2 linked regions of the Caenorhabditis elegans genome follow. The protein of the gene in region 2 purifies or fractionates together with the protein of the main gene of each other region. This does not show direct contact. Each region holds a gene or a part of one and is shown on either strand. Other genes may lie near its edges.

Region 1 (7,820 bases), on a different chromosome or scaffold from region 2:
AAGAAAAACTTGAATGAAACTATGAAAAATCAGAAAAAATCAGAAGCATCGAGAATTTGAAATTACAGTACTAAATATTTAAAGGCGCATGCCTTTTCGCTTTGAACAAGTGTTTGTCGTGTCGAGACCGGGTACCGTATTTTTAGCGCAAAATTTTGCGGCTGGGTAATAAATTTAAGAAAACTTGAAAAAATCACTATTTCCGTGACAACTTTATTTTGGAAAAATAGGACTATAATTAAATTTTATTTAAAAAATTAATAGAAGATTTTCAAATAATTCGTGAAACCGAAAAAATTAAGTAGTTCACGGACACCATCTCCAACACACCACTGGCCAGTTCTATCAATCAGTTTTCGGTTCGTTTAAACTCGAAGAACAGTCTTGACCAACACGAGATGTATTCACTTTTGACGCTCCTCTTCGTCCTCTTCTTCTCTGGAAGCACTCTGCTCGTTCAATGTGGTGGAAAGAAAAAGGGAGCAACTTCTGCCGAAGGAAAATCTTCGACGATGGGCCCGGCTCCTGGAGGAGCTCCTGCTGCTGCTTCCGCTCAAGGAGAACCTGTAAGTTTTTGTGCAGCTCTTTTTTCCAGATTTTATTGTAGTATATTTCAGGAAGAGAAGGAGTAATGAACAATTCTACGCCAAGCAAGAGACCTTCGATGAACTAGTTTTATTCACAATTTCTTGTTTTTTCCATCTGAAACTGAACACAAGTGCTCACCAAAAAAAGAGTAAAGCCTCAATTTTGTGCTGAGCCGGAATTCAAAATGCGTGCCTACATAATGTGCATGTCTTTTTTACGATTCCATCGCTCTCTTTTTTTGCATTACATTCCAGGCCGTCATCTCCGTTATACTACGTTTTTTCTTGTTTTCTCGGTCGTCGTAGAGGCTTCGAATTTTCTGTGTTCATCAGTTCGCCGTGCTTTTCTCGCTTATCAAATTTTCACATGTTGACACACCCTTCTTACTCGGTTTTTTGTTTGGGAGAAATATTGACTTTTTTCAACTTTTTTTCTTCAAACTCGTGTTGCCGTAAGAAAATCTAGGCTTGATGGTTAAAATTTCTACAGTAATCTGGCGAGCGCTGTGAAACCCGCGTTTGAAACGATGTGCGTCTTGAATGCGTACAGTAGGATAATGTTTTTGTTTTTGACATTTTTTCATCCAAAATTTTGGCCAAAACGCTATTTTCTCCATAAAAATCGCTTTAATTTCACAATTTTCAAGTTTTTTACTGTTAATTATTCTGAAACGATAAAAACTTGCGAAATTGAATGTGTTTTCTTAATTTTCTTAGTTTTTTCGCACTTCTAGGATTTTCAGATTTTTTCTAGGATTTTTTCAGAGTTTTTCCAAGAATTTTTAGAGATTTTTTTTCAGAAGCAACACTCTTTTAAACTGAAAACATAGGGATCCTCATGACGTTTCCACGAAAAATCCCCAAGTTTTTGGACGCCATCATTCTTTCTCATTTATTAAAAAAAAGTATACACAAATATTTATTAAATTTAGTTTGAATCAGAAAAATATTCAAACTCTACGTTTTTCCGTTGCCCAAAACGAGTTCATTAACGTATTCCGTACATGTGTAGATCCTTAGTTGTACAGCAGAGTTCAAATCCCCTATTTCTTCCAAAAGCACACACACAATGTAGATATCAAGTTTCGAGTTGACTGCTGCTTCTGCGCGAGAAAGAAGACGTCCAAAACAGGGAGGCTGTCAATTATGGATAGAGATCGTGGAGACGCAGGCGTGACCGTCGCTAATCTAGTTCCCATTTCGTCTCTCTCTCCAGTCAGTAAACCCAGCGAATTCTGTCCGTATGCCTCTTGCTGCATCACCAACTCGTCTCATACTCCTACCTCTCTGTTATTTTATTTCATTTTCAAATTTTACCCCCCACTCCCTCCGATGTTTGTTGTCTTGTTTTACTATCTTCCTGCGCACTCTCATGCACACATAGGAGGAGTGGCAGGTGACGAGAGAAACAAGAAAAAGATGGAGGGACAAGGCGCCTCTTTTGAGATTTGAATTTTTCATCCAGCCCGTTTTATGTATGGGAAACAAAATAGTTTAATTCTCTCTTCTCAGTAAGACCTAAACCTAAAAGCTATAGCTTTCTCTTTTTTATACATTTCCTTTCAACTAATAATTTATCATTCTCAAAGAATGGAATATTGGAAACTGCGTTAATTGCCTAATAAAGAACGCCATCAATAACAGATTCCGCACCCAAACAATTAGTGAAAGCTCCACCCATTTCTGTCCTTTTTCCGTTTACTTCAGTTCTCAAATGTTTTGAAAAAAGTTTTCAAAACAAAACAGTTCATATTGCATTCATGAATTCCCATCGGCGCCACTCAATTTCGCAATTTGCGCAGTGAGAGTTTCCGTGAAAAGTTATATTTCGAGAATTTCGCAATACTCTTTTCTTTTTATGTATTTCTCAGCCACAAAGAGCATGTCCTACTGATGATTTATCCGGTGTAAGAGAGGTCGAAATACGCGATTGAAAAGAGGAAGAGAGAAGTTTTTTTCTCATTTCATTAAAGAACGCCGTTTGCCCTATCTCTCTTCACTTTCTCACCCGTTTCCTGCTAGTTCAAAACTTCACTAATCACCGTCCGAATCTCTTTGGCTCGTTATGCTTTTCAACTGACGGACGGCGCAATTAGGGAACAACGTTGGCGTTGCGCGAAGAATGAATAGATAATAATCTTGGCTCTCGCCCCATTGTGCTCTTTCTACTCCACACTCAGCTTCTGCCAATTCCTTCCGACACATGGGCTTTTATACTTCTTCTTCCTCAAATTGCTAAACAAAGTCAGAAATCGAGTGCAGATATTGCCGCCACGTGATTCTCTTAATTCTCTTATGCTCGATAGAGCTCCACCTATTTTTGATTTATGCTCTCCTCTCACGCAGTTTTCTCAACTCTCTTTGAATATTTCCATGTTTCCATGGTTGCCATCGAGTGCTCATTCTTTTCCGGTCGTTATTCCTATTTTCACTATACAAACACCTTTTATTTTTCAGAAAATCATGGCCGCTGCTGCTGGATTCAACTGGGATGATGCTGATGTGAAGAAAAGGTAAATTATTTGGATTTTAAATTATAAACTTTGCAAGAAGTCCAGTAGTTTACCGATTTCAATTTTGGTAACCAGAAAAAAATTAACAAAACATTGTTTTTCACACAGTTTCGAGTTAGAATTTCGCATCAAAACCTTTTAATTTTCTAGATGGGACGCGTTCACCAAATTCGGAGCTGCTACCGCCACCGAAATGACTGGAAAGAACTTCGACAAGTGGCTTAAGGATGCTGGTGTCCTCGACAACAAAGCCATCACCGGGACAATGACCGGAATCGCTTTCAGCAAAGTTACTGGGTGGGTTGAACTTTACTGTCTGCATCGAATTAACTAAAAAATTTATTATAGACCTAAAAAGAAGGCCACTTTCGACGAAACGAAGAAAGTGCTGGCATTTGTCGCCGAGGATCGCGCGAGACAAAGTAAGAAGCCGATTCAGGACGAACTGGACGCAATCACAGAGAAATTGGCCAAATTGGAAGCGCCGAGTGTTGGAGGTGCGGCGAAGGCCAATGCGGCCGGCGTTTACAGCCGTCTCACCGATCACACAAAGTATACTGGAGCCCATAAAGAAAGATTCGATGCCGAAGGAAAAGGTATTTGTAGAAAATGAATTCACGAAAGAAATATGTAATTTCAGGAAAAGGAAAATCAGGACGTGCGGATACAACAGAAAATACTGGATATGTTGGAGCTTACAAGAATAAAGATTCCTACGATAAAACACATGGAAAGTAATCAAAGATCTCTCTATGGACCAAATAAATGCACTTCTTTTTCTTTTCGTTTTGTCTATATTCTCGAATGTATAATTCCCAGTAATATCTTTGTATTAATAAATTTATTTATTTAACTTTTTTTAATCTAAAATTCAAAAGCAAATAATTTCAGTAATTTTTTGAATTAAATTAATTCCACTTTCTAGTTTTTAGAGATGATAAAGTAGTTTGAAGTTATGTACCATATTAAAAATTATTTTCAGAAAAGTTAAGTTCACTGAAAATACCACTTTCTTATTGATTTAACTATTTTAAATGGAAATATTCAATTTTATAGACTGCGAAACAAATTAGGCACACATTTTGTTCCTGCGTAAATCGACACAAGTACACAGGCAGGTCTCGCAGCGCTTGGCTGCCGCAGCCAATTCGTTGGCTGAGTATTCAACGTTGTAACACTGTGAAGAAGAAACCCATAGAATTTTTCTGAATTTTTTCTTTTCTTTTTTGATTCAATATGCTGATTTTTTAAATTTTCTCCCGGAAATTGTTTTAAAAATATCTATTTAAGCTTTTTTTCGCAATTTTGCGTTGTTATTGAGTTATTTTCTGTATTTCTATCGCAATTTTCATTAGTTTGAACTAAAATCGCAATTTTACTTCTTTTTTTCAGGGTACAATGGCTCCACGTGGAAACCAAATGTTGGGCAATGCCCATTTCCGCAAGCACTGGCACAAGCGCATAAAGACCTGGTTCGACCAGCCAGCTCGCAAACTCCGCAGAAGACAGAACCGTCAAGCTAAGGCTGTCGAAATCGCTCCTCGCCCAGTTGCTGGACTTCTCAGGTTAGATAGAATTAGTCTTTTCATTAAATATAGTTTCATTTCAGATCTGTCGTCCGTTGCCCACAGAAGAGATACAACACCAAGACTCGTCTTGGACGTGGTTTCTCTCTTCAAGAGCTCAAGGCCGCCGGAATCTCCCAGGCTCAGGCCCGCACCATCGGAATCGCCGTTGATGTGAGAAGAACCAACAAGACCGCCGAGGGACTTAAGGTATGTAATAAATTATTTTGCATGAAAATTAAATGTATACAATATTTTAGGCCAACGCCGATCGTCTCAAGGAGTACAAAGCCAAGCTTATCCTCTTCCCGAAGAAGGCTAGCGCACCAAAGAAGGGAGACAGCTCTGTAAGTTTTTTTTTGCATTTAATTAAGTTTGAAAGTATTTTTGAACTTAGTCGATAACAGTTTGTTAAATAATTCCTGCATAATATGAATATTGATTTTTAAGGCTGAGGAGCTCAAGGTTGCCGCCCAACTTCGCGGAGATGTCCTTCCACTTTCCCACACCATCACCTTCGACGAGCCACGCCAAGTTACCGACGCCGAACGCAAGGTCGAGATCTTCAGACTTCTCCGCAAGGAGCGTGCTGACAAGAAATACCGTGGAAAGCGTGAGAAGAGAGCCAGAGAGGCCGCTGAGGAGAATAAGTAAATTGTTGATTTTCTCTGTTCATAAACTTGTTATGAAAGTTAACAGTGACTTACCAACGAACAAACGAAATGCAAATAATATTCTAAAATACAATACGTCTAGTTTAAGTTTTTATTTGAAAACTTATGGTCAAAAGTGAAACATCAGAACGGGAAAGTTGATTTTGAGTTTCCGATTGTAAATCTTAAAAATTCTGTCGCTTACTATTAGTTTAGGTTTTCATTGTGATTTTATTCGCTACTTGAAAAATATTAAAGTTTAATTTCAAGAAACGCATATTAATCCTCAGCTTTTGGTAAAAATTTGTAGCACTGAGAAATAGGTGGCTGTTGGCTTAAATATCCAATTATCCGTTTTCTTATTTTTGACCGATTTGTTCTAAAAATGTCTCCTTCCCATTCTAGACTCACTGATAATGTTTCGAGAGTTAATAATATTTAAAATTTCAATTAAGATATTCATTCACATATATTTAAAAACAACGTAGAACATTCACAATATTCTACAAATACACGTATTCAATTAGTTAATGAGAGTCATTGGAAGAAAGACTAGTCTAGGTGCTCGGATTTAATAGAATTCTTTGATCTGTTGTGTACAGTTGGAGATTCATCGGTGTACTCAAGCCTATGCGGGAAGCTGATTGGTGACGAGGCGCGGAGCGGAGCAACGGTTCGCAAATCGAGTGGACTAGACGAGATAGCGGCGATCCTGATTTGCTGAAATATGGGAAAATGAGAATGTAGTGATAATTTCAGATCAAACCTTTTCGATTTTTTGAGCGCTGGGATGACCATGCGGTGAGCTAGGGATTATGCAACATCCACGTACGAATATTGAGAGCAATACTGGAAGGAAAACAAGACCATGGAGAAGACCGAGAGAAATTGAGAGAACGACCTGAAAATAGAAAAGTTAAAGAATAAAAAAATTGAAAAGAATTACCGTTTTGAAAAAAGTAACTATCATATATGCTGGAATATCGGCAAGAACTGAAACCGCGATAATTGTAGACATAGCTCCCTGAGACAGTGGCCATCCAAGAGCTGATAGTGCTTCTTTCACTCTACCAGCTGCTGTATCTTCTCTGGATACGACATAGCCATATGCAATGTGTGCAGAATAATCGACGGAGAACCCAATTGACATGATAATTGTGATCATTGATATAGCATCCAGATTCACTCCCCATAGCGTCATGTATCCAATCACTCCAAAATCGATGGAAGCACAAGCGAGAGCCACCCAAAGTGAGCACATTGGCTGTGGAATGAAGAGAACGGCAATGACGATCATCACCAAAAGTGCAATAATAATGTTTTGAACAGTGTTCGGAATAATTATAATGTACTGATCAGTGAACATCCATATTGGCATAAAAGTGGTCACATTGAACTCCGGCCATCGAGCAGCGACCTCTCTAAATGACATTGTAGCGTCGGTTTGGTCCATTGTTGTCACTAAATCCTTCATTCCTAGAATAAACCGGAAGCTTTTGACCATCGTTCCATTATCATCATCAGGCATTGGTCCCCAGTAGATATCCTCTGCCAATGGATTATTGGTTTTGGAAGCTAGGAAATGGTGAAGAAGGCCATAAAATGAGGAATCAATAATTTGAACTTCCAACTCTTTTTGATAATATCTCTCCATTTCGAATAACCAAAACTGCACAGATTCCATTCCAATCGCATGCTTACTTGTCGCAAAGTCAAGCACCATTGCATGAACTCGATCACGAGATGTATGATTTCTAAGATCGGGAGCATTATTTATCACAATTTGCACTTGTTGTCCGTATTTCCAAAAATATTTCTCTAAAAGTCGATAATGTGGAATAGCATACGAGTCCTCAACCAATAAATTAACTGGCTCCAATCCTTCCTTGATACGAGAGCATCCATAGCTGGCGCCGAGCAGATAGATCACAAACCAAACCATTGCAATTCCACGAACCACAGGATGCATCAGAACTGGAGCATACCATTCTCCGAAGAAACGAGAGGTCAGTGGTTGTTTGACATCGTGTGATGCAGAATGATCGGGCACACTTCCGAGATTGAATAATCGTTGGAATGTGCTCAGGGATGTCTTCTTTTCGGCAGATACAGCTTCGATGAGAAAGAGGGAATTTCGGCCGGATGCTTCGTGTTTCATAGCCAGTGCTAGGCATGCGGCAAAGAATGTGATCTGAAAACAGCGATTATTATTGAGACGCAAAATTTTGGTCCTGAAAAAAACGATTTTTGTGTGTTAGCAGAAATTCGCCACGTGGAAATATTACCCGGACGCGAAATTTTGCGAATTTGGTGCCAGGTCTCACCACGACAATTTTTGTCTTCAAATTCAAAAACATGCACTTCTTTAAAGATAACTTTTTTCATTTTTTTTTCAAATTTTTGTGATTTTATTCATTAATTCTGCTATTTTCTAATGGTTTAAATGAGTTTTTTGACGAAATGTGTCGAGACCGGGTACTGTATTTTCGGAACAAAAATCGA
Region 2 (7,530 bases):
GAATTTTCCAACAAGTTCAGTGAACATGTATGAAATACGGCAGAATGCAATTTTCGGAATTTCCTCTTCGTATTTTCTATTCCAATTTGCCTGAAACTATCAAAATTTTCAATTTTTAAATTTAAAATTAATTTCGAACCGGATAGCTGGTGATGATGAAAAATGGGAAGAGAAGTGCAAAAATGACACTGTTCACAAACATATTACTGCTGATTGAGCAAGCAAGTGCCAGGGGAGTTCCAAAACCAAGGAAGTACGGCCAGTGTGATTCGAAAATATCTTTGCGTCGAAGGAATGAAAGGTTGTAACCGTCGAAGAAGTAATCGAAACTGAAATATTATTAATATTATTTGATTTTCAAAGTTTCAGCTAAATCTTTTTTACCATTCTTATTTTAGAAATTTTGGCGATATTGGTGGTTCTGTTGTTTTTCTATTTTCAATTTTTGATACATTCCATTGGAGAGGTGCTGAGAAAGCATTAAATTGACTGATTGGCAAAAATTTAATTTATCGAAACTTTGATTTATTTTTAGTAAAAAAAATGTTTAAAACTTACCAGTACATTGAGTTAAGTAGAGCCATATGAAGATAAACGATAACTGGTGTGATAAGAGGAATTGGAAGATATTGCGAAAGCATTCCTTGAATGAGGAAAAAAATTTGATGGAGCGCAGAAATGAGAGTTCCCGCTAACATAGAACTGAAATTTTTTAGTTTTATTTTTTTGAAATAATTATTAAATAAACTAACCTAAAAGGAACGACAGGTGGTGGTGGCAATTTTAGAGCTCTCATACAGGCTCCTGAAATATCTGAGAACCAAAGTGCCTGAATGATTCGAGAAGCAAAAAAGATGGGAATAATCAGAATGTAGCCGATATTGTGACCCAAATCAGTTCGATCGAAAAAGCTGAAGAATAGACCAAGAATCAATATACAGACCTGCCACAGAACCAAGAAACCGATATTCATAGCATAGATTTGCCAGAGTCTGAAATAAAATTTATTCAGTTTTTAACATGTAAGTATAAAATACTTTTTCAAAAAGCTATCTTTCTTCTTCGGTGGTTCAGGAGGTCTTTTGAAAATTCCTTGTTTTTCTCGTCTCATCATTAAAACTGTTCGTTCAACTGGCTTCGGTGGTTCTACTTTTACTTCTTTCGCTTCTTCTTCACGAATACGCCGAACAAACTGAAATCAAGAATATTTAAACTATTCGTTACTAATGGGGTTATTCAAGTAGTGTCGGAAAATTAAAAAGTGTAGAAAAATTACGTCACAACTGTATTAAAATACATAAAAAACATGTATTTAAATACATTTCGCTACATTACTTGAATAATCCCATAAATAAAAACTTTTTAAAGTTTTAAATACTCACAGTGATTCCTTTAAATGAATCAATAAATCCATGGTAAAAATCTCGAGCTATTATTTGAAATTTGACCATTTTTGGACTCTTGTTTAAACTAACTTCTTGGTATGTGTGACTTGATTATTGATTGGTGAATATCTGAATTAAAAACTATATTTCTACGCTGCAATTGTTTTTACTAACCTAGAAATTGCACCGGAAAAATGGAGAAATTCTGAAAATAATGACTTATAGAATCTAAGAAACGAAGAGAATATTTTTTAACGAAATTCGTTGTAATGCTGGTTACAAAAAAAGAAACACATGATTTTTCATTGACCTGATCATCTGCACAACGCAATTCCTATCGAGCGTCCACTTTGTGTAGACGCAGCAGAACGCAATACATTGGAGCGAATTTGCTACCAGTCATGGGGTGTCCTGAGGAAATTTCCTCAGGAAATAGATGAGCATTATGAAAGAAATCAACTAATTTATCGGCGTAAAATTCTCCTAGTAAAGGGTTTGTGAAATGACGACAAATGGGACAAAAATGGATAAAATTGAAATGTTTAGTTACACACAAAAATACAAAAAAAAATTGTTGAATCCTGTCATTTATCTACTCGTATACATCCTCACGCTCGCAAATGTACTTGAATGCATCGCGAATGGTCTTGAACTTATCGGAATCCTGAAGTGGGATCTCGAATCCGAATTCGTCTTCCAGTGCCATCACAATTTCGACCTGAAACAAAACAATTTTCAATTAAAAAAAAAAAAATTTACTTTGTAATTTAAATTTAACGTGAGGAGGAGATGTGCGACACATTTTACAATACCCATTTTCTCATCGTCGATATTTTTTTCAGAAACTAAAATAGAAATATTTGTACATTCTGATGATAACTTTATTTTCCACTTTTCAAAAATTTTAATTTAAAGCCAAGTTGACTTCAAAAAGCACAAATAAATCTATATTTCTGGTACGGAATAATTCTCCATTTCGGACCGAGCTGAAAATGTCACTTTCCATATGCCGGTAAAGCAGATGTTTTAATGTCATTTTGAAATTGAAATTACCTGATCCAGAGAATCAAATCCAAAATCTTTGCTCAAATCAGCATCAAGCTTCAAAAGTGACTCCTTGTCTGCTGGGAAACGATCCCATGAGCGAACTGCTTTCAAAACACGATCTTCAACCTGAAAATATACGGCCTGAAAAAGTCTTCCGTTTGTTTCAGCTACCTGTTTGAATGTGAGTTGCTTTGGGGGGTCGAATGGTCCGAAGACTTCAATTTTGCTTCCCCTGAAAATACCGACCTTTTTTTCTAAAGAGTATGTCTGAACTCCAAAAATCAAAACTTTAATGTGGAAATTGTTTTATCGTTACTCAGTTTGATTTAAAAGGTAGTTCTCTTTTTCACTTATTTTCCTCAAAAAACCTTCTTCTACAAATAAGCATTTGCCTTGATTTTTAGCACCACAAAATTTCCTGAAGAATGTTACCTAGTTTGAATGAAATTTACAGATGGAGCCACGAGCTTGACCATTTGCGGCACCGAAGCTGACACAGATCTCCGTTGAACTACCACCGAGGCAGTTCTGAAAACGACGCGTCCAACTTGACGACCAAACATTTTAACCCTTCTAAAAGAATGAGGTTCTTTCATAATCCATAACTATCTATCCTCAAGTAATTGAGGCGAATCCACGCATTCTTTCAAAGTCAGAACAAGAAAAAACGAGATTTTGGATAACAACAATTTATCAACAGCAACAAAATTATTTGTGGGCTTTGCGTTGAGCGATGATGACGTTTTGGAGTTCCTCTCTCTTTCCCTTAGCACGACGGTGGGTTCCGATGCGTCTCTTCAAGAACTTGAGGGCGCGCTTGTCCTTGGAGATACGAAGCATTTCCAGAACGCGACGCTCGTATGGAGCGAATCCGGTGATCTCACGAACGAGCTCTCGGACGATCTAAAAACTTTAATAAATATTTTAATCCGAAAAATTGGATAATAACAAACCTTGGTCTTCTTGGAGGCGACTCCCTTGTGTCTGTTTTGACGCTGCTTAACTGGAAGTTGGGTAGCAGCATGTCCCTTGTTGAGACCGACGGCCAAACCTTCAATTCCTGGTCCGCTCATCCTGAAATTATACAAAATAATTAGTTTAGGAATACGATTAGAGTTGCGATTAAGTTACGAGAAATAAACTAGCGAACATATATCCTATTGGTACAAATTAAATAAAAAATCACAAATTTGCCGCATATATAGGTAAAAAACTTTGGAAATTTATCGAATTGATGCCCAATTTGGCCTTGAAAGAAGATCTCTCAAAAATCAATATGTGAGACGTGAAAACACCCATATAGTGTGATTTTTCAGTGTAAAATAGTTTAACCAATTTAATTTGGTGTTTTTAGACGAAATTTTAACAAGAAATTCCTGTAAAAATCGTGAAAAAATCGAAAAAACCAGCATCCTATTATCGTCGGCGGGGCGAAACAAGAGAAAATGGAAAATCGTGGTGAGACCATTGGCTGCGTAGCGACTTTTTCCATGGAAATGATACGCAGCCAAAACATTTTCTGTGTAAATCGTATTTTTCGATTTTCTTTTTCGATTTTTAAAACGTTTTTATGGTGAAATGTTGAGAATTTCTTTAAAAATCAATGAGAATAAATTTTACAAGACGTATTTTATTAATTATATATAATTTTTACTCGGCTTATCATAAATTTTTTTTTCTCCGTTGTCCTCATTGCCATAGTTAGTAAAATATTTAATCAAGGAATTCAATTTTAGTCTTGGATAATGGCTCCCGCTCGTAAGGGAAAGGCTAAGGAGGAACAGGCTGTCGTGTCCCTTGGACCACAGGCCAAAGAAGGAGAGCTCATCTTCGGAGTCGCTCACATCTTTGCTTCGTTCAACGACACTTTCGTCCACATCACCGATATCTCAGGTAAAATTATAATTTTGAAACAAAAATTATCAAATAATTTTAGGACGTGAAACCATCGTTCGAGTTACCGGAGGAATGAAGGTCAAGGCCGATCGTGACGAGTCATCGCCATACGCTGCTATGCTCGCCGCTCAAGACGTCGCTGATCGTTGCAAACAAGTGAGTTAAATTTTTATCAATGCTACTGCAATAAGTTAATGTTTTCAGCTCGGAATCAACGCTCTTCACATCAAGCTTCGTGCTACTGGAGGAACCAGAACCAAGACCCCAGGACCAGGAGCTCAGTCTGCTCTTCGTGCCCTCGCTCGCGCTGGAATGAAGATTGGAAGAATCGAAGACGTTACCCCAATCCCATCCGACTGCACCAGAAGAAAGGGAGGTCGCCGTGGACGTCGTCTCTAAGTTGTTACTTGTTATTCGAAAGAATACATTGTTCAAAAGAATTTATTTGCGTTACACACTGAAAATGGCGTAGACCGAAAAACGTTTAGTCGATAATATAGTTAAGTATGCTCTGGCTGGGAGTTTGTTCAGATCGAAGGCTCAGCTACGTTTAAAATGCTTGCTTCGAGAATTTATCAATAACTGGTATTATTTGTTGAAGAAGTAGAATTCCAAATATTGAAGATAGCCTTGTCGTAGTTAATAGCACCTGCCTGGCCAGTTGCCACTATTCTGATATTTCCTTTGATCTCGATAATTTTCTTTATTCGATATATGTAGTTAAAGTATACTGATGCTACTCCAACTGCAAAATTGTACGATGAAATCATCTGGAACAAGTTGAACTTCTATAAGCTGTAATTAAATGAAATACCGTCATGAAAGCTCCGCGGACTGCCCCTAAATCTATTGGATCACTGAAAAAATAACTTCCGAAATATCTTAACAAAATAGTGATAGTCGTGTAACTCCCAAAAAATGTTACATGCACGAATATAACCGAAATGGAAAATTTAGTCGAAGAATAAACTTCTTCCAATTGGAATTTTGCAGCTAGTGTTGAATTGGACTTCTAAATGTTATGAAAAAAAAAAAATTCTAAATGTTATGAAAAAAAAAAAATTTCAACTTTTTCAATTGTGCGTTTCTTCGAAGCAACAAGAAGCTGAAGAAAAAATTGAACGAATTTAAAATCAGCATCATAATAAAAAACATGTACATCTGAAAAAAAATTTTTTTCACAATTTTTCAATTTTTGCAACTTTTGAAGCTATTGATGCCGGAATGAATACAAACGATATTGAACCTCCTGTGACAATTGCTTCCTTGTAGATGAGTAAAATGAGAAATAAATCTAGTAGTACCAAAAAGATGGCAAGAATAGGTCCCAAAAATACACGAGTTTTTTCGTAATCATCAGCCATTTTTGTAGCAATTAGTCGTTCAAAAGTTATTGAAATTGGGAAAAATGTAGGAATTGTCATAAGAAGACATCCCAAAAGGTTGCCAAGCTTGTAGTATTTAGGTTGGATTAATAAGTCGCACTTTTGCTCTGATATGAATGGAAGTAACACTTGGATAAACTATAAACGATAGAAGGAATTAAAGTCAATTGATAGGAACCTACAGCTTCAACAAGGAATACCACACTGAACACGAGAATTGCTCCAAAATAACCAACAAGAAGACTCAGAAAATGAAAATTTTAAATAATTGAAGATAAATTCAAATACCTTGAGATTTCCATGAAAACTGGATTTCAGAAGCTGGAATAAAATAAAGTAAGTTAACGGAAATAAGGAAGAAAAAAGCATAATCAACTGATATATTTGAAAATTTCTATAAACTGGATGAAACGACAGCTCATACGCCTGAAAATTCAAATATTTATCATAAATTCCATTAATAATAGACAACCGTAATACATGCCAGTGGAATATTTGTAGAAGATTCATTCATTTATGAAATCGTATCAACATGAAACTTGAAGCTCCAACCTTCTTATATATTCGTACAAATACAATCATAATAAATCTCAGAAATTTTAGTTTTATTCTCCGAAAGTTGAAATGAATGACTAGAATTGATAGATTAACTTTTTATTGTTCGAAATTCAATTTCTTAAAACGAAAATGTGAAAAAATCTATCCCGTTGGTGCTCCATGGTGGTTTTTTATTTAGTAATTCTCCTACTGACGATATCTTTATAAATTGTTTTTCGTGAAACACTGAAACACATAAAAAAACGACAATATTATCTGAAAGCCTACATAAGTACACAATTAACGATGATTACTGTACTTCTTAAAGGTGCATACCGTTTTGCACACGTGGTGTCAGGTTGTACCACAACGGTTTGATCTACAAAAAATGCGAGAATTTTTTCCCCAAAAAATGTGATGTCAGCACGTTCTTAACTATGCGAAATCAGTTGAGAAGCCTGCGCATAAATTCCCGCATTTTTGTAGATCACAACGAAATAGGACATTCTGACACCACGTGATTGCAGAGCCTATTTTTCAAAAATATTTTGCTTCTAGTGAGACCGGTGCCGTATTCAGCCGTATTGTCGTATTCGGAAGAATGTAAAGAAGTTATTGTTTATTTGTTAATAATTGAATTAATTAAACAATTGGAGTAGGCCTTGATGTTAAACTAGAAGCTGAATTCCAAATACTGAAAATGACATTATCGTAGTTTTGGGCTCCCGCATTCCCAGTCGCTTGCATTTCAATTTTTCCAATAATTTCAACAGATTTTTTAGTTCGAATTCGTTTGTACAAATAGACAGCAACTACTCCAATAATAAAGTTATACGTGGCAATCATCTGGAAATATACAACATATTATTTTTAATTTCAGTTTTTTTAAGAACAAATTCGACACTGGCCGCAAGATATCAATTGGAGGAAGTATACTTATCAACGAAATTTGCAATTTCTGTAATATTTGTTCATGTTATCTTTTTTGGAACATATACAACACTTACTATTCTATCGAGATATTTTGGTGGATTATTGATTGATGATCCAATAAATTTATCAGCTGCAAGAGGGGCTCTAATGACAGTTTGTTTTGAAATTGATTTTTCATTTTAATTGGAATAAATCATGCAGGTTAATTTCAAACGGAAGAGTAATTTTATATTACTTGTGAGCTTTAAACTTACTTTTTCAGGCGAGAGTTTTCACGTAGAAGTAGAAAATTGAAGAAGCCTTGATTGACTGGAATTTTTAGTCCTCATCTTTCCTTTATCTTTTAA

What was found. The genes of interacting proteins can lie anywhere in the genome.
Region 1: the proteins of rpl-36 (region 2) and rpl-13 purify together in Caenorhabditis elegans (affinity purification with mass spectrometry; 2 studies listed by BioGRID, with this or other methods). This does not show direct contact.

What each region holds. Positions count from the first base shown.
Region 1 is NC_003279.8:3,783,544-3,791,363, forward strand, and holds rpl-13 (Large ribosomal subunit protein eL13), read left to right. Parts: upstream 1-4,492; 5' UTR 4,493-4,498; coding exon 4,499-4,665; intron 4,666-4,709; coding exon 4,710-4,875; intron 4,876-4,925; coding exon 4,926-5,012; intron 5,013-5,115; coding exon 5,116-5,319; 3' UTR 5,320-5,353; downstream 5,354-7,820. Other genes in the region: C32E8.4 (uncharacterized protein), read left to right, coding at 399-566, 618-632; tppp-1 (Tubulin polymerization-promoting protein homolog), read left to right, coding at 3,051-3,100, 3,251-3,397, 3,449-3,696, 3,741-3,838; ptr-2 (SSD domain-containing protein), read right to left, coding at 5,871-6,038, 6,085-6,219, 6,265-7,509. UniProt on the Caenorhabditis elegans protein: Component of the ribosome, a large ribonucleoprotein complex responsible for the synthesis of proteins in the cell.
Region 2 is NC_003281.10:7,176,227-7,183,756, reverse strand, and holds rpl-36 (Large ribosomal subunit protein eL36), read right to left. Parts: upstream 3,507-7,530; 5' UTR 3,506-3,506; coding exon 3,386-3,505; intron 3,336-3,385; coding exon 3,141-3,335; 3' UTR 3,110-3,140; downstream 1-3,109. Other genes in the region: epg-4 (Ectopic P granules protein 4), read right to left, coding at 1-90, 140-329, 559-702, 753-992, 1,038-1,192, 1,383-1,451; ndab-2 (Acyl carrier protein), read right to left, coding at 1,978-2,103, 2,439-2,558, 2,604-2,664, 2,865-2,995; rps-14 (Small ribosomal subunit protein uS11), read left to right, coding at 4,178-4,325, 4,369-4,484, 4,533-4,727.